Arabidopsis thaliana: one gene and its partner. The protein of the gene in region 2 interacts with the protein of the main gene of each other region in a pairwise test. Each region holds a gene or a part of one and is shown on either strand. Other genes may lie near its edges.

Region 1 (9,880 bases), on a different chromosome or scaffold from region 2:
ACCAAGTGAAGAAGAGGAAGAAGGTGAAACAACATCCATTAAAGCAATAGAGGATTCACCTCCACCTCCGCCTCCACCTCCACCACCAGCTCCAGCTCCAGCTCCGTCGATTTTGCTCTTTCTTATGTATTTCCCCATTTTCCGTTAGCTTTTCATCAGAGAGAAAGAAAGAGAGATTGGGAGGTGTGAGAAAAATCGGAGTTAGGGTTGTGAAGATTAGTGCTCTTTGTGGGGTCTCTCTCTCTCTCTCTCTCTCTCTCTCTCTCTCTCTCTTTTTTTGTGTGTGTTATTTTTTTTTTCAGGTGGCTGCTTCTTCACTACTGTGAGTAATGTACTTTGCTATTTTTTCACTTTAGTTTTTAAAAAAAAAAAATATTTTAGAACTTGAGTGTAATAATTTCGATATTTATAAATAGAAATGATGACATATATTTTTATTTATAAATTTATTATTTTTTTCCACATTTATAAATTATATTTAAAATAAAAAAATTTGAGTTAGTTGGGTTCAAATATGTGTCACAGCGTTAGAAAAGATTGAACGGTTACACAACCTGAATTAATTCAAGGATCGTATTTTGCTCTACTTTTGTGTATTTTACTTACCTTAGGATAAAAAGTTTTAAATCTAGTTGAGGTAGAGATTGGACGAATTTGGAATGTCAACTTCTACTTCTCTACTAGGCTTATGATGTTTGACAATTTTATTTTTATTGTTTTCTGCGAATTGCTTGGATAATGTAGCATAAGATATTTAGCCTTTGTAATATTGAGAATATACTGATGAATCTAATGACTAGATTATATAAATTACAAGAGTTAGATGATTATGAAAGTTTAAGCAGTTTTGAGAATTGGGAAGGAGTAGGAGTATTTTATATCTTATAGTATTGTATAAAGGTTTGAGTAGGTATATATTATCGATTGAGAAACTAAAGATAACTTAAATTAATGATTCATTCAACCACTCAACTGTTACAAAAAATAAGTTCATGTTTAAGAAAAAAGTACATTTATTTTAGACCAAAAAAAAAAAAGTACATTTATTTTAGTTTTTCCAAGTTAGACGTGTTTGTAAATTGTAAACAAACACAAACGTAACCGTGCTTTTTACTTCTCCTTATGTTTCACATTTCCGTTTTCTATATATAATATCGAGTTTTTCTTTTTTTTTGAGTTGAAAGTTAAATTTATTCAAACCCAAAAAAACTATTTTTACAATAAATGTTACAGTGATGCTGAAACAAATAATTTTGAAAGAGAGGCAGAGTCATTCAAGAAAGATGCGGTTATATTAGAAGTTCAATAAGTAACCCAGAACAAAGACAATTTAAGCCTAAGCAGATAATAAACTCATCCTTAATCCTAAGTTTTAACGTACGAGTACTTTCAATGTGCATGCTTAGAGTTTTGTATTCATCTTAAACCAACTTAATGTATGCAGTGTCATTATAAGATATTCGTAAAGAGACCTTAAAAACAAGCGTTTGGCTGATTATAAGAAATTATTATTCAACAATGTAGTTGGTCTAGAGAAATTACTTACATCTCTCTTTCACTCTAAACACTAGAGATCAAAACAACGAAGTAAAGAAGTAGGATCATTAGACAAAGATTGGAAATATCACAAGTCTCTTTGCTTTTGACATAAACAAACCCAATTTAAAAAAAAAACCAACTTATTAATGTAACATTAAAAAAAAAAAAAAAATTAGACCCAAAAAAAGTCCTGAGCTCTCTGCTATTTCTTCTTTTTTCCTTTTCTTTTCAGACGAACATAGAAATATTTCTACTTCCAAATCTTTACGGATTTGTCATGACTTGCAGACGCAACCACTCCCGTCGAAGGCGACTGAGCCAAGGCAGAGATCACACACTCGTGGCCTGCTACCGTCATACATTTGTTCTCCATTGTGTTCCACAGCTCTATAGCCTGTCACAGATTCGTTTACCAAAGTTAAAACAACTGAGAGACACATTCACCTCATCACACATTTGAACATAAGACTAGATATTGTTTGACACATTATTTGTTTGAGAAATGGGGATATAGGTTATACCTGATAGCCACCGATGACCAAGAGATCGGGATAGCTAGGGTGAAAAACAACAGAGTGGAACTTGTTTCCACTGTTGCTAAGCTCGTGGATGCAATCTCCTGAACTCAGTGACCATAATTTTACAGCGTCTTCACTAACAGACGCCACCAACTCTCCGTTTGGGCTCCAACAAACAGAATGTACATTTGAGGAATGTCCCTGCCAGATCAAAAGTAAATAAAGCCATGAGTAACGATCAACACTTACGACATCTAAACATATGCCCCAATGCATCTAACAAGAAAAATGCACTGGACTTTGAAGATTCAAAGTATTAAAAGTAAAAAACAAAGCTTTTAGTCTTTTATGTGGATTGACCCGGGGAATTCAAAAATATCAATATATCATCTTCAGCTCTACCTTAAAAATGTTGACCCGTTTGTTATTATTTTCAATATCAAAAATTGACACAGTATTTTCTGACGCTGCAGCTAAAAACTGTCCTGTTCTTGGCTGGAAACGTACTTGCGTGCTAGCCCCCTGTGCTTGGAAAATTCAACGATTAGCAAACAGAGTTCACATCCCAGAGAAACCATACAAAAGGTCAGGGGCTTGCCTTTACAGCACGAACGCAAGAGGCGTTTATGTCCCAAAAGCGAATATCATTGTTGCTATCACAGGAGCATAAAAGCTCGGTTTTCTTAGGATGAAAATCAATGGACATAACAGGTGCAGCATGACCAGAAATTGTTCGTAGGAAGTAACCAGGCTGCACAAATTGGTAGTAGTTAGTCACAGCAGAACACGAAAAATTGCAACAAATAAAAGAGAAACAAATTAAATTAGTATACATCAGAAGCATCCCAGATTTTGATTGTTTTGTCGAATGATGACGTTGCCAGTTGAGTTGAATTCGGTCTGAAGCGAACATCTGTGATGATATGAGCATGTTCTTCCGGAGTGCTCTCAACTTGTAGTGTTTCCATGTTCCATATAAATACCTACTGACAAAAATAAATTTGCATCCACATTATCTGTTTTTAAACAAACAAAATGTTACCTACCTATAAATGATCTATAGCTGTTTTAGGGCCATGACAAGTTTATAAGCAAACCGTATCTCAGAAATTAAGAAGTTGCACCTTCTTATCATGTCCAGCGCTAGCCAACAACTTCCCATCATATGAGAAGCTACAGCAAATGACCTTACTGGCACTTTTTCTTATACAACTAACCTCATTGAAACTGAAAGCTGAAACGAGAAAAAGGACCGTGTTAGTATATATTTATATCGTCTACTTGTATCATACTTATCCTTGGGGTGTTAGAATACGCTTTGAGGTTTCGGTATGCACAGAAGAGTTCCGCTTTAGGGTGCCAAACAAGCTTCCTCCGTCTCCATCATCTTGGGACAAAAATGATTCTACATTATCTTCTAGAGCTCCCACATCTCCAAACTGGTCCATGTCATCCTGCAGCTATTAATTCTTGTCATAAGAAAGCTGAAAGAAACACGGCCCCATGGGATATAAAAAAAATATTCAAGCTGCTAAGAAAGCACTTGTTTCACACAACACAACTGCATGCTGTATCCAGATGTTATTGGAGGAAAACTAGATTGTCGTTATCATTCTTCTGAGAAATTAAGAAACATACCAGTTGATTTGCTGATGATGCAAGACCACCGATCCCATCAGAACCATACATCATTGGCCCTTTTGGCATGCTATTCACATGGTGCATGTTACCAGCTATAGCAACTCCATCAACAGGGGTATGCGTTGACGGAGTCGATGGCTGTGAGTTGGATGGGCCAACAGTGTTTCCTGTCCCTGTGCTGTTAGCAGGACCAGAAGAGGAAGGCCCTTTTCTTTTGCGGTTGTTCTATCAGATACACGAAAAGGAAGTTGTGGCTCAATCATCTCAGACACTAAAGAATATATTCAGTTGGTTAAAACCACATGCTTGATAAGACTTGAGGGATTGGATCCACATAAAAGTACCTGTTGTGATTGCTGGGATAGTAAGTGATCTTGTTGCTGAGAAGAAGATTGCTGTACTGGCGGCATGCTGATATGCTATAGACCAACAAGCAACGGAAAGAGAGAAAATCAGAAGAAAAAAATGTGATTGATAAAATTTTAGCAGTAAAGTCCCCATGTTTGGTAGTAATCAGCTACTAATTGCGGATAAGTTTTCTCTATTATTGGGTTCATGTGGTTAACAAGAAAAAACAAAATTCTGATACCTATGTAGATCTACATTAGGATAACACAAACACATTACCTTACACATTTTCCAAATGGAAAGTATAGCAGTCAGACGATAACCCAAAAGAGTACAATTTTAAAGCATAGACGAGCAATTATCAGAAAAAATGCATAGAAGGACAGACGTAATGATCCAATTACACCACTTAACGGAACACAGAAAAAATGAGATGCTTCATTTTTTCTCTGCTACCCGAAAAAGATGATATAATGCAGCTCAACAGATTCCACTGCATCCAACAGGGATATGCATTTATTGGTAATTTGAGAAAGTCTTACCTTTGACGAACTTGACTGCATGGGGGACCCTATAGATCCATCATTTGCATTTTGTTGGCCATCTTTCGGATTAAGGTTTCCTCTAGGTAATCCTGTAAATCTTCGAGGGTCCATGTCACCACCATACATGGGTGAATTAGTCATATTTCCTTGCGCTTGAACCTGAGCCAACATCTGATGTTGTTGCTGCTGCGGCGAGAGCTGAAATTGACTTTGATTTTGTAGAAAAGATTTCTGAACCTGAGGGCCTCCTAAACCTGGTCGCATCTGCTCGATGCCCTGTAACATTTGTCAAGAAACTTAGCAAAATACTGGGCTTGGAATGACAAACAAATAAATTCTTAGAAGAACCACAGAGACTTACAGTTAATGGCCATCCCTTTAAAGGAAGACCACTCACTCCAGGGTTTAATCCTTCACAAGGGACAAACACAACACCATAAGAATTTATACAAATTGTAAGCAAAAGATTCTCGTGATGCCATTAGCATATCACCCTATGTAATTCATCATGATTTTGCACATAACAGGGAAGTAATATTTAAATTTTGGAGTCCATAGTCAACTAATTGCCATAGAAGGCATACTACCACGTATTTTACCACCATTTTCTTTTCGGTGAGCGATTACTCTACAATGCAATACATTGATATATTTACCTGCACTCCCCATCCCAGGCTTTGATTGCAGAATTCCCTGGCCATAAACTGTAGAAGGATCCACTGGCAGTTGTCTTGGAGATGTACCCAAATTAACTTCAGTTTTGATTTCCTGCACGTACAAGAGATTCAGATGTACACCAAAATATCTGATTGGAGACTTGTCTGTTAGAAAATTTGAACAGTATAAAGTAAGGTGCTCGAGTAGTAGTTACAGTGGGCTGCTGAGTTCGTGATTGAATTTGCTGCAGCGCTGCCGAAACACCTCCTTGATGGTTTCCTTGGACAATCTGACTGTTTAGGGACAGAAAAAAAAAGAAAGGACAACAAGGGGTCAGAGGTATGAGGACTAGAAAAACGACAGCAAAAAAGAAGCTGAGCCAATTTACCCATGATGGTTTGTTGCTGATTTAAGAAGGGCCATCCTTGCATCAAGATGAGGTTGGGATGTCTCAGAATTCATAGGATTAGGCTGCTTCATGCGTTCCTCGTACATTTTAGCAGCCAAAGCACTAGCATTAGACTGCCCAATCATCCCTTCAGAACCAATAGCATTCATTGGACCGCCAAGAGAAGGATGATTAGGGTCCCTACGCTGCATTTGAGCTTGGCGCATCATCTGCAGTTGCTGTATTTGCATTTGCTGCTCCTTCGCTTTACCTTGTTGTGCCTAAAATTTCAAAACCACTGGTCAGTTACGTAATTCAAAACTAACAAAACATATTCCCAGATGTTAGTAGAAGACATTCACCTCTATATAAGCTGCAGCAGCCTCTGAATGCTTCTCATTCGTCCTTGCAATGAAAATGTCCCAAAACACAGACCACCACTCAAAAAGAAACCCTCCAGGTGCATCAATTGCTAATCATTCACACAACAAAAAACAATTACATATCAAAACTTAAAATTAAGAAAGAACAAAGTGGAACAAAGAAAGTGTAATATTACCAACTGGATCAGGAGAAACCTTCCCTTCAGTCATAAACGACTTAGCAGTATTATGAAGTTTCTTCTTCACCAAATAATCATATATGTAAACATCAAGCCTACAAAAACACAAAGATATCAAAGTAAGGAATTGAAAAAAAATAAGCTTTTATTGAATACAAAATTAACTTACATCTTGTCAGCTTCCCAATTACTCTGAGCCATAGCTTCAGCCCAAGATCGAGCTGCTATAAAAGGAATTCAAATCTTCAATCCAAAGAAATGATATGAACTCAGAATAATTCGATTGTTTTAATAAACAGACACTAACCTGAATAAAAGCCCAAACAAATAAATATCAAGTAGATCAGAACCCTAATTCGATCTTCAGATATCAGTAAATTTAAAGATCAAGCATTGCTGCTACACATACAGAGAAAATATAAAGAAATCGACAAGGTTAAATTGCTTATACGCGAACATGACTTTTGGAATTCGTTGAATTGATATAGAAAGTAATCGAATTCACATACCTGACGGATCACAATTGAAAAGGAAAAAAAAGAATCTAGGGTTCTTGAGAGATTACAGTGAATTGTAATCAGCTGTAAGTTAAGAGTAAATCGATCATGAAACAGCTGGAAGAGAGAGATAGATCAGATTGATGAGTTTGGAGAGATCATCGGATGTTTGGTTTGATGCTTAGCTTTAGGATTCGATGAAAAAGTTTATTCATGGGCTTCGATATTTGGACCTAGTTATGGGCTTACTTTTGGGCCTGTGATTGACTTTTAATCTAAAGTCAACTCGAAGGTAGGCCGAAATTTCTCTTGAATCGTTAGAGCAGCCAATTCATGGTTTCTAAACAGAGTGAAAAAATTTATTATAAAAAAAAGTGTAGGTTTTTTTATTAGTAAAGAAATTATTTTCAAAGTACGCAATGCTATGTCAAGATAAATGGTTCATACTTCATGTAGCTACACTCAATAATACATTGGAAAAAATGTCAAAAAAATTGCCAACTTTGAAAAATGGGATGAAAAATCACCAACTCCTGAAATGTCGTTTTAATCACATACTTTTGATTGAGTTCTTTAGAAAGATAACAGAGCAAAGTTTTGTTGATTACGAATCTTTGCTTTATTATCTTTCTGGAAAAGTCAACCAAAAGTATATGATTTAAATGACATTTCAGGAGTTGGCGATTTTTTTGTCCCATTTTTAAAAGTTGGCGATTTTTTTAACATTTTTCCCATAATACATTCATTATTCTACCGTATTTAATCTTCTAGTTATAGCTTACGAATGGTTCAAAATGAAAACTTGCGTCAAATACTAGTTCTTTCTTTTTGGGCAAACTCGTGAAATATGTTTGTATTTTGAGGGTGAGATTTGACCTTATAAACTGATCACTGCATATGTTTTATGAAACTAATTCAAATTCTAAATAGAAAATAAGAACTAATTAAAATCCTTTAACTAGAGGTCTGTAACCAAAAGATTGCATGCATATTCTCAATAGAACCAATCTAATTTTTTTACAAAAAAAAAATGCATAGGATATTCATTTGGCACTTAATTTGAAGTTTTAGTACTTTATGATGTGAAATGAACAATCCACACTTGTAGTGTTATGAAGTATTAAACGTATTTCTTAAATTTCTTACTAACAAGTTAGCCCTAGATTAACTAGTTAAATATTCTTGTTAAGCCTCGTTTTTTTTTCAAATCACTAGTTGACTTTAAAATTTAAGTCCCAACCATTATTCTAACAACAAACAGTCCAAATTAAATAAAAGATTACATTCACAGCTCAAACCAGTCAACCTCAAATTTTTAATAATCTAAATCTATGTGGGTGATGCATGTATAATGTATAAGCCTATCTGTTTTTCTTTATTTGTTAGTTTGGAAAATGAAAGGTTTAATATGTGTTTGGTTTGAGCCATTAATGACATAATAAATGAGATCACTTTTTTTTCACTAAATGAGATCACATTTAGGGCTTGAATAATGCAAAAGAGCCCTCATATTATTAATGGCTTTGTAGTAGACATGTCCTTCAACTATAAAAGGAAAAATAAAACAGCCACGATTATAAACTTTTGTTTTTTTGATAACGACACAATTTATTCATTTATGGTACGTCTTTTATGAAAATACACTAAAAGAGAAACACACTGTTCTTTTTGCTATAAATCCATGGAAGGTTGATTTATGAGGAATCATATACATATGGTGAACTGATGATTGCATTCTACGAATATGATCAGTCTGGTTTTTAGAACATGAACCAATTATTATTATTTGACAAAGTACATGAACCAATTGTAGTATATATTTTCATCAATTTCAGGTTTTTTCACCATCGGCGCCCACTAGAATCGTTTGCTCATTTTCTTAATCGGAAATAAGATATACATTTCATTTCATGTGCATATATATATACATCGATATTATTTATTTATTGAATTCATCAAATGTACATTGATTTCATTTTTATTGTTATGTTGGATGAGATCAACTGGGCAGTTGGCAGACATAAATAAATTGTCCTATGACAGGTGAACCTCATTTAATTTAGTTTACTCAACCAATTTATTTTTTTCGCCTTCTTACAAGTTAATACGTCCGGTTTAATCAATTCCGGTTTCCCACTTTTCCTCACGGTTACGCCTTAACCAAGCATTTCAACCTCTGAAATAGAATAATTTGAGTATATATGAACAAATCAACAAACTAAACTAAACCGGAATTGATAAGAAACCTAGAAAAAGAAGAAGCAAAACCGGTTATGTATGTAACGTACTCACGAGTGGACGATATGTCTATATATAGAGGTCAAGACTAAGCTTCACTGACACAACTACTGTCTTCGATCTCTCTTTCATATACACCATATAAAACGAACCAGTTAATTATGGGTTTAATTTCCGGGAAGGTGTGTGTGTTTATCTTTGTATTCGCTCTAGTCGCTGAATTTTCGTTCGGAAATGTTGAGGTTAACGACGACAAACACTTTTTCCACAAACCTCGTCCATTTTTACACAAACCTCGTCCATTCCTCCACAAGCATGGCATTTACAAGAAAGGTTTCGGTAAGGGTTTGGGCGGTGGAGGCGGTCTAGGCGGCGGAGGTGGTCTAGGAGGCGGTGGTGGCCTAGGAGGCGGTGGAGGTTTAGGCGGTGGTGGAGGTTTAGGCGGCGGTGGTGGTCTAGGAGGCGGTAGCGGTTTGGGAGGAGGAGGGGGTCTAGGAGGCGGTAGCGGTTTGGGAGGAGGAGGGGGTCTAGGAGGTGGTGGTGGTGGTGGTTTAGGAGGAGGAGGTGGATTGGGTGGTGGAGCTGGAGGAGGATACGGTGGTGGTGCTGGAGGAGGACTTGGAGGCGGAGGTGGAATTGGAGGAGGAGGAGGCTTTGGCGGTGGAGGGGGAGGAGGATTCGGGGGCGGAGCCGGTGGTGGATTTGGTAAAGGCATTGGTGGTGGAGGAGGTCTTGGAGGAGGTTATGTTGGTGGTGGCCATCACTGATGAGTGGTGAGGCTCATGCTCATGCATTCGTAACGTTGTTATATTATTTAATTAAATGGAAAATGATAAATTAATTATTGCAATAAAATGATACATTAGCAATTGTGTATGTCGTTATTTTTATTTTGAGTCGCATTGTATGCTGATTCCATATGTTCGGCTTTGGTCGGTTTCAAGTGT
Region 2 (8,408 bases):
ATTACTTATAGAATGGTTCCATAATTCTGCAAATTTATGAATAAAAATTAATAGAGTTGTGTCATCTAGAATTCTAAGTAAAATGAAGAATTAGATTAGTAACAGTGAGTAATAAAACATGATTTAAGTACCTGCATCTTCTTCTTCAATTTAACGTCTCCATCACCTGAGATGGCATCGAGCTTGACCAATTGATTCATCAACATCTCCATCAAATTCTCAAGATTCTTCTCTTCAACTTTCCCTCCTTTACCAATCACTGTATCAAACGCCGACAGCTAAAGTCCAAAAACCAAAAAAAACAATTCTGATTCAAGTTACGAGACAAGAGCGTTGTTATCCGGAAAATTTAAAATTATGTTTCTTAAGTTACTTGTCCGGCGAGTCTTTCGACTTGGAAACTAATATCAGAGATTGCTTTAGATGATTTCTCTTTGGTGGCGATTTTCCTCAACTCAAGGAGACGTTTCTCCTGAGAAATGGGATCTTCTATAAGAATAAGTTTCGAACGATCTTTGACACCAGAAAGATCAAGAAACATCTTTGAGTCTCTTTCTTTGTCTTTGTATATAATCTGCATGTCTTGATGATGAACTCCTGTCGCACCAGACAATATCTTCTTTAATTCCCCTGTTGTTAAATTCAACAACAACAACAATCAAATTCCAAAAACAGAGCATACTAATAGTATAAAGGAAATACTGTATAACTCGGAATGTTTTGTGTCGTTTACCGAAAGTAGATTGAGAGTTGATACTGATCTCGTGATGGACCGACCCGTATTTGACCCGAACCCGAATGCCACGTGGCACGCTTGAGCTATGATCCGTCCTTTTCTGTACAACCATTCCTCCAGGTCGGAGCTCCATTTCACCGTCGCCGGAAGTTGTTGTTCCGATACTCATTTTCATCATTTTCTTTATTAAGAGAGATAGAGAGAAAAAAACAGAGGAATGATGAGATGAAGTTGATTTCTGAAAAAGATCAAGAAGAAGAAGAAGAAAAAAGAAACGTCTGAGCAAAGAGAAGTAAATACACTTTGTTTTGTAATAAATTAATGTTTCTGTTTCTGGACAGAACTCGTGGAAGAAGAAGAAAGATAAGAATCATATAAAGCAGATTATTGTTTTATAAAATTTTATACAATGAGAAAAAAAAGTTAAAGAAAAGAGTGACAGCTAATGTGATTGTTGTTATGTCTCATTATCAGTCCATCACAGATACATATATTTAATATAAATGTTGTATCCCCCACATATTTATTTCTATTTCTGATAAATAATGACGATATATTAATGTCGTTGTTACATTTATATTTATTTGTCATCGTTCTTCTGTATTTTATAAGTCGTGTTCTACGTTTCTAAGTACAGGTAAGCTAATGAAATAACTGAAACAGAAACTTGTGTTACACGTCACGCCTTTAACTCCGACAAACTCTGCAACTTAAAAATCTCTCTTTCTTGCAGATCCACATTGTCTAGAATTATCGTCGGTGTTGTGTGTCTTCTTGCCAAGTTTTGAATGATCCATGGACCGTACGGACCACACACGAGCTTTCTTTGATCATTTCTTGAACAAGCTAGTGCTTTAGAGACAGAGACACCGGTTAGGTTTGACCTCAAGACTGTTCGAGAACAGAGCTTTGAACGGTTGGAGAACAGAGTATAATTATTTATGGGCTAATAATGGGCCTAAAAATACTGAAATAGGCCTGTTGGGTCGTAGCTCCATATAGTTGGATGATCTTGTCGAAATATTTTAGGGGTTGAATTGTCAAAGGGAGTAATATTGGGGTCAATAAGTAATCATGCAAAAAAGAGGATATTTGTCGTAAGCCCACTCATTTACAGCTGCAATCATTGGTACAGTTATTACAAAAAAATAAAATAAAAAACATAATTTGGTCAATCAACTTTAAACTACACGCGTCGCACACGATCCATGCTCTCAATCGAACGATCCACAATTGATTTAACTTTATTGATCGCAAGGTCAAGAATATGCCACGCAATCAAAACAGCTAAAGGTTACCAATCGGTCATACGATACTTGTTACGATAAACAAGACACGTGTCAGTATTGACTAGCGGGTAATAAAAAGTACTTGCAAAACCATAAGCAGATGGGTCACCGGCTTGTCCGGTCAGATTTGGTTCTTACGATTTCCTCTAGGTATATTAACAAAGGCGCGTCAAGTTCATTGCCTAGTTCCAGCTCTCTCCAGGATTTTCCTTTTTTTTATGCAAAAACAACAAACACAAAATAAATAAGAAGATTGTTTATTTTAACTTTATATTACAGCTTGAAATTTCCAGGCAAATTTTTTTCCTTCTTCTTCTTCTTCTTCTTGTCTCATTAATTATCTTCCTCTTCTTCTGTTTCAATTCAGCTGGGTTTAGTTTTAATTTCTAGTTGTGATCTCTCAGCTTTTGTTCTATATTGATCGAAGCTCCACTTAACAGTTCTTCGTACGTTGTTTCCGTGTTCTTCGCTTTTTTATTTTGTAATTTAATTTCGGTTGCTTTTTAAATATCTAACTCCGAGATTTTTAAGGGATTGCTATCTATTTTTTTTTTTTTTGGGGATTGGTTAGTTTCTCGGTTAGTTATGTTAAGTAACGAACTTTAAAATTAGGGTTTTGATTTGGTTTTTTTTTTATTTCAGTGGTTAAGTTCAATGTCTGTGTATCTTTAATAACGCACCAGATTCATGTGTTAGGGAATGTTATTGATCTGATTTTAATCGATACATGTATAATGTTGTAGGTATCAGTAGTAAAGGTGGGACATTTGTGTCGCATTGAGGAAGAAACTTTGGATTTCAGACTCACTTGGGACCTACCCTTTAATGGCTTCTTCAACTTCTGGGATTTTCTTTCAAGGAGATGATGAATCTCAAAGCTTCATTAACTCTCACTTGACTTCCTCTTATGGGAATTCATCTAACTCTGCTCCTGGATGTGGTGGACCTACTGGTGGCTATCACAATCTCAGTATGGTTTCTGGTGATATGCATAATCCGGTTATGATGAGTGTTTCAACACCCGGTCCAAGCGCAGGAGCTAGTTCGCTTGTCACAGATGCTAATTCAGGGCTCTCTGGAGGTGGTCCTCATTTGCAGCGTAGTGCTAGTATCAATAATGAGTCATATATGCGTTTACCGGCGTCTCCTATGTCGTTCTCTTCTAATAATATCAGCATATCTGGTTCATCAGTTGTAGATGGGTCGACTGTGGTACAACGGCATGATCCTAGTGTTCAGCTAGGTGGCTCTAGTGCTACATCACTGCCTACATCACAAACTAATCAAATCCCGCTTTCTATGGCTCGGCGTGCTTCTGAATCGTTCTTTCAGGATCCAAACAACTTAACTCAAGCACGGAAAAAACCTAGATTAGATTCAAAGCAGGATGATGCTTTGCAGCAGCAGATTTTACGTCAGTGGCTTCAGAGACAGGATATATTGCAGCAGCAGCAGCAACAACAACAACAAGGCCAAAATCCACAGTTCCAAATCTTGCTTCAGCAACAAAAGCTGAGGCAACAGCAACAATATCTCCAGTCCCTCCCACCATTGCAACGGGTTCAACTGCAGCAGCAGCAACAAGTGCAGCAACAGCAACAGTTGCAGCAGCAGCACCAACAGCAACAGCAACAGTTGCAACAACAAGGAATGCAAATGCAACTAACCGGTGGGCCAAGACCTTATGAAAATAGCGTTTGCGCTCGAAGATTGATGCAGTACCTATATCATCAGCGACAAAGGCCTTCTGTGAGTGTGCATGTAGTCGTCAAATTTTTTGTTTTATGTGTATTCTAGAAAAAAGCTCTTGACAGATACCAGTCGTGTCATTGCTGATTTTGTAGGAGAGCAGTATTGTTTACTGGAGGAAATTTGTGACGGAGTATTTTTCTCCCCGGGCAAAGAAAAGATGGTGTCTTTCTCATTATGATAATGTGGGGCATAGTGCACTTGGTGTTTCTCCTCAGGCAGCCACGGTTTGTTTCCCTGACTCTTTGTTTTTTTTGGTTTCATACTCTTTATGCTGATCTTACGGTGTAGTTACAAATAGGTTACTTATTCTTGCTTTTTGTATTTTCCATTTGCAGGATGAATGGCAGTGTGATCTATGTGGTTCTAAATCGGGAAGAGGATTTGGTAAGTTCCAATTTGCTTATACCCTGATGAAGAAGAGGGAAATTTCAAAAATGTTTATGGTAGCAAAACATCTTCTCTTAGTAACTTTTTCTTATGGATTCTGCAGAAGCAACTTTTGATGTCTTGCCAAGGCTTAACGAAATCAAATTCGCAAGTGGTGTCCTGGACGAGCTTCTTTATCTGGGTGTACCGTCTGAACGCAGATATGGATCTGGAATTATGGTGTTAGAGTATGGAAAAGCAGTTCAGGAGAGTGTGTACGAACATATCCGTGTTGTTCGCGAAGGCCATCTTCGGATTATATTCTCCCAAGAGCTGAAGGTGGTTTAAAGAGCTTTTGATTCCAAATACTTTTAATCATTAATGTGTATTAAAGTAACTTAGCTTATCCTTTTTCCTTTTGCCAGATTCTCTCATGGGAGTTCTGTACTCGTCGACATGAAGAACTACTTCCTCGTCGCCTAGTAGCTCCACAGGTAACATTAATGGTTCTTACAATCTTTGTGACTCTTTTTGAAATCCCTGGTCTTGAGATTTTTTGAATGTCTGCTCCCTATGGTCGTGCAGGTGAACCAATTGCTTCAGGTTGCAGAGAAATGTCAGAGCACAATTGATCAAAGTGGATCAGATGGGATTCATCAACAAGATTTGCAAGCTAATAGCAACATGTGAGTCTTGATGATTCTAGACAATATTTCACTCTCTTTCTTCCATATTTCTCAATCAATTCAATTTCATTGTTTCTTGCATCTTGTACGGTAATTAGGTAAGATTTTTCACTGATGCAAAGAAGATCAAAGCGATTTTAGCTTAATATATACAAATATGATGTACTGATGCCAAGTCTTTTGCTCCAGGGTCATGGCTGCTGGACGTCAACTAGCAAAAAGCTTGGAGTCACATTCACTCAATGACTTAGGCTTCTCAAAACGATATGTTCGGTGTCTGCAGGTATCTCTCTGCCTACTTTCTTGCATTTTCCTGGTGGCGTGTCTCCTTTTTACTGTTTAACTCTTGCCATCTTCTTTAAACAGATTTCTGAGGTTGTCAGCAGCATGAAAGATATGATTGACTTTTGCCGTGACCAAAAAGTGGGTCCAATCGGTAAGTTAATACATAAATCCCAGAGAGTCCCTGAGATTCATCAAAACGCTTTTTTTTTACTTGGCTGTGCTTATAAAAAGCTTTCTTGCTACCTTTTAACATTTGCAGAGGCTTTGAAGAGCTATCCATATCGAATGAAGGCTGGTAAACCTCAGATGCAGGAGATGGAGCAACTAGCGGCTGCCCGAGGGCTTCCACCTGATAGGAACAGTCTCAACAAGCTAATGGCCTTGCGCAATTCCGGGATAAACATACCAATGAACAACATGAGCGGTCAAGGATCTCTTCCCGGCTCTGCACAAGCTGCCGCTTTTGCGCTTACCAACTACCAGAGCATGCTCATGAAACAAAACCATCTGAATTCAGACCTAAACAACACCACAATCCAGCAAGAACCATCAAGAAACCGGAGTGCATCCCCGAGCTATCAAGGAACTAGTCCCTTGTTACCTGGTTTTGTGCATAGCCCATCAATAAGTGGTGTATCTTCCCATCTATCTCCTCAGCGGCAAATGCCAAGCTCCAGTTATAATGGCTCAACCCAGCAATACCACCAACAGCCACCTTCCTGTAGTAGCGGTAACCAAACATTGGAACAACAAATGATTCATCAAATATGGCAACAGATGGCAAACAGCAATGGAGGCTCCGGTCAACAACAACAGTCACTTTCTGGTCAGAACATGATGAATTGCAATACCAACATGGGAAGAAACAGAACAGATTATGTTCCCGCAGCAGCTGAAACACCAAGCACCTCCAACAGATTCAGAGGCATCAAGGGGTTAGACCAAAGCCAAAACCTGGAAGGTATTATCTCTAATACATCGCTCAACTTTGGGAATAACGGGGTTTTTAGCAATGAGGTTGATGAAAGCATGGGAGGATATTCTTGGAAGTCATGAGAGGCATTTTGATAGTTAGCTCCAATGTTGTCTTTGTAAAGAACGAGTTACTAAAGACTAACTTTCTTAGGTATATGAATCTGATGAGGGGGATTCAATGTTAACGTGTCTACTGTGTTGTTGTTCTTTCTTCTTCTTAGATTAAAGCTTCTCTTTTTATGAAGAGGTTTTTCTGGAAAGTGTTACTAATTCTGGAAAAGAAAAAAGACTGTTCTTCAGGAACTCATCGCTATCAATCAATATTTTACCTTTTTTCTTATGACTTTTTTTAAGCCTCGTTTATTTAAAGCTGATACAGTTACAAACATCGGTAACACGTCACAAACAAGCCAGACACATGCTATTTTTTTCTCTGAAATTTTAATAAAATGTATTTGTGACGTGATTTTAAATCATACAAAATTCCACAAATACGGATATGTAATCTTCATCTACTTGCACTAATACAGTAATACTTTTCATCTTCAATATACCAACCATCCTACTATCTACAAGAGATAATTTGTCAACTCCTTTTACCATAGTTAATTTCATATATTACATAATTTTGTATATGAAATATTTTTGCTTTGCACTAAAGAATAAAATAAATAAATAAAAAAACCTTGCACTCAGCGTGGTGGATAGAGAACAGAGTGATTTACTTTCACATGTAAATCTTGTGAACTAACTAGACCATGTGACCATGCCAAACGTCTCCTCAACTCATCTAATTAATCACTCAAAATATACACTCAAAACATTATATAAATGATAAATCTAAACATATGATATCATATACATAGAACTACATCAGATATCTATAGAAACAAACTTATCCATGGCAATAATGGCATCGTTCAAGTCTTTCGCAGCCGTTCTCAGTGTCCTTTTTCTTGCCATGACTGCTATAGAAACGGTAGTTCAAGCCCAAGAATGTGGCAACGATCTAGCAAATGTGCAGGTATGCGCCGCCATGGTGCTGCCCGGTTCAGGCAGACCAAATTCAGAGTGTTGCGCCGCACTTCAATCTACTAATAGAGATTGTCTATGCAACGCTCTCCGTGCAGCCACCTCTCTTCCTTCGCTTTGTAACCTTCCTCCTGTGGATTGTGGTACGGATTTATTTACTTTTAACCAAGAAGTTTGATATTTGGCTCGTTATCCCAAGATGAGGATGAATAAAACAAATCTCAATATATATTTAGTTTTAGTTACCAACATTTTAGACTTGGCCTAATATATGGCCAAACCAAAAAGACTTGGCCTAAGATTCCAAGTAGATTAAGTAGGATAAAACCTCATATATCAGCTCTAGCTAACTCGGCTAATGTAGTAATGTGTTTATTTAATGATATATAGACCTCTATTTCATATCTGTTTCTGAGGTTTTTTTGTTTTTTTGTTTGTTTTGTTTTTGGGTTGTGCAGGTATAAATGCTTAGTTAAGCTACGAGTCAATTCCAAGATGATCAAGGAAAACGGGAAAATAAAGAATAATGAGAAATATTCCAGTCTTATGTTTTTTCTTCTAACTTCTGCTTTACTATAATAAAGTTCTAGTAGTTTTGCTTAGAAATTTAGATACTACTAGTATAATAAAAAGCTTTGATAATTATGAGAATAAAACATTCCCGGTCTGAAACCAAATTATTCTTAAACATGTACGTACGTAAGTCTAGACATCAGAAATAAATTAGATTAGTGACTTGTTTAATATGCATGGAAAATCATGTTAGTTTTCATTGTTGCCAAGCTAACAATGTTTGTTTAAAAGCTAGAAAGTCTAAAAATTGCACCTGACCCCTCTAGTGCTTGTTGCTGAATACGACTTGAGGAGGATAGTATTTATTAGTGGTTATAGACGATCGTTATCACAGCTAGTCTTTATTTTCGAATGTTCCCTATTTGTTTTCCTTTTTCGTAGACTTACTTCTAAACTGCATCCTACTGAACAGTAAAATATAGATAACTAAACAAATAGATAGATGAATAAACGAAGAAAACAACACCTTTCAAAATCGAGGGGTTAATCTAGCTAGTGATTAACAACTTCTCTTTATAGAATTTGAAGTACAAGAAGAATTTGAATTGTGCCACCAGAATAACAACCTATGTAACATTTGTATGGCCTGGATAAAAGATAAACACCTATCATCCACACAAAATATATTTCTGATTTCAAAAACATATTCCATACACATTTGTAAAGTTTGCAGTCATTGTATTGGATTGAAGCAAAGAAAAAAGCTGCCAAATT

What was found.
Region 1: the proteins of SLK2 (region 2) and LUH interact in a two-hybrid assay, tested with the Arabidopsis thaliana proteins (one study listed by BioGRID).

The regions. Positions count from the first base shown.
Region 1 is NC_003071.7:13,863,754-13,873,633, reverse strand, and holds LUH (LEUNIG-like protein), read right to left. Parts: upstream 6,863-9,880; 5' UTR 6,708-6,862; exon of another isoform or gene 6,595-6,707; 5' UTR 6,506-6,594; intron 6,423-6,505; 5' UTR 6,400-6,422; coding exon 6,368-6,399; intron 6,294-6,367; coding exon 6,196-6,293; intron 6,109-6,195; coding exon 5,999-6,108; intron 5,918-5,998; coding exon 5,637-5,917; intron 5,542-5,636; coding exon 5,463-5,541; intron 5,360-5,462; coding exon 5,191-5,359; intron 5,003-5,190; coding exon 4,953-5,002; intron 4,868-4,952; coding exon 4,589-4,867; intron 4,118-4,588; coding exon 4,043-4,117; intron 3,924-4,042; coding exon 3,696-3,923; intron 3,518-3,695; coding exon 3,373-3,517; intron 3,292-3,372; coding exon 3,182-3,291; intron 3,041-3,181; coding exon 2,891-3,040; intron 2,809-2,890; coding exon 2,656-2,808; intron 2,580-2,655; coding exon 2,460-2,579; intron 2,259-2,459; coding exon 2,061-2,258; intron 1,934-2,060; coding exon 1,790-1,933; 3' UTR 1,477-1,789; and 1 more. Other genes in the region: AT2G32710 (Cyclin-dependent kinase inhibitor family protein), read right to left, coding at 1-138; GRP23 (glycine-rich protein 23), read left to right, coding at 9,095-9,700. UniProt on the Arabidopsis thaliana protein: Transcription repressor subunit of the SEU-SLK1 and SEU-SLK2 transcriptional corepressor of abiotic stress (e.g. salt and osmotic stress) response genes, by means of an epigenetic process involving histone modification (e.g.
Region 2 is NC_003076.8:24,932,983-24,941,390, reverse strand, and holds SLK2 (SEUSS-like 2), read left to right. Parts: upstream 1-2,151; 5' UTR 2,152-2,471; exon of another isoform or gene 2,472-2,768; 5' UTR 2,769-2,850; coding exon 2,851-3,774; intron 3,775-3,869; coding exon 3,870-4,001; intron 4,002-4,112; coding exon 4,113-4,161; intron 4,162-4,267; coding exon 4,268-4,482; intron 4,483-4,568; coding exon 4,569-4,637; intron 4,638-4,728; coding exon 4,729-4,829; intron 4,830-5,018; coding exon 5,019-5,112; intron 5,113-5,195; coding exon 5,196-5,265; intron 5,266-5,373; coding exon 5,374-6,170; 3' UTR 6,171-6,429; downstream 6,430-8,408. Other genes in the region: BAG2 (BCL-2-associated athanogene 2), read right to left, coding at 132-278, 374-630, 734-914; AT5G62080 (Bifunctional inhibitor/lipid-transfer protein/seed storage 2S albumin superfamily protein), read left to right, coding at 6,991-7,264, 7,580-7,593. UniProt on the Arabidopsis thaliana protein: Probable transcription regulator that functions in the development of the carpel margin meristem similarly to SEUSS (SEU).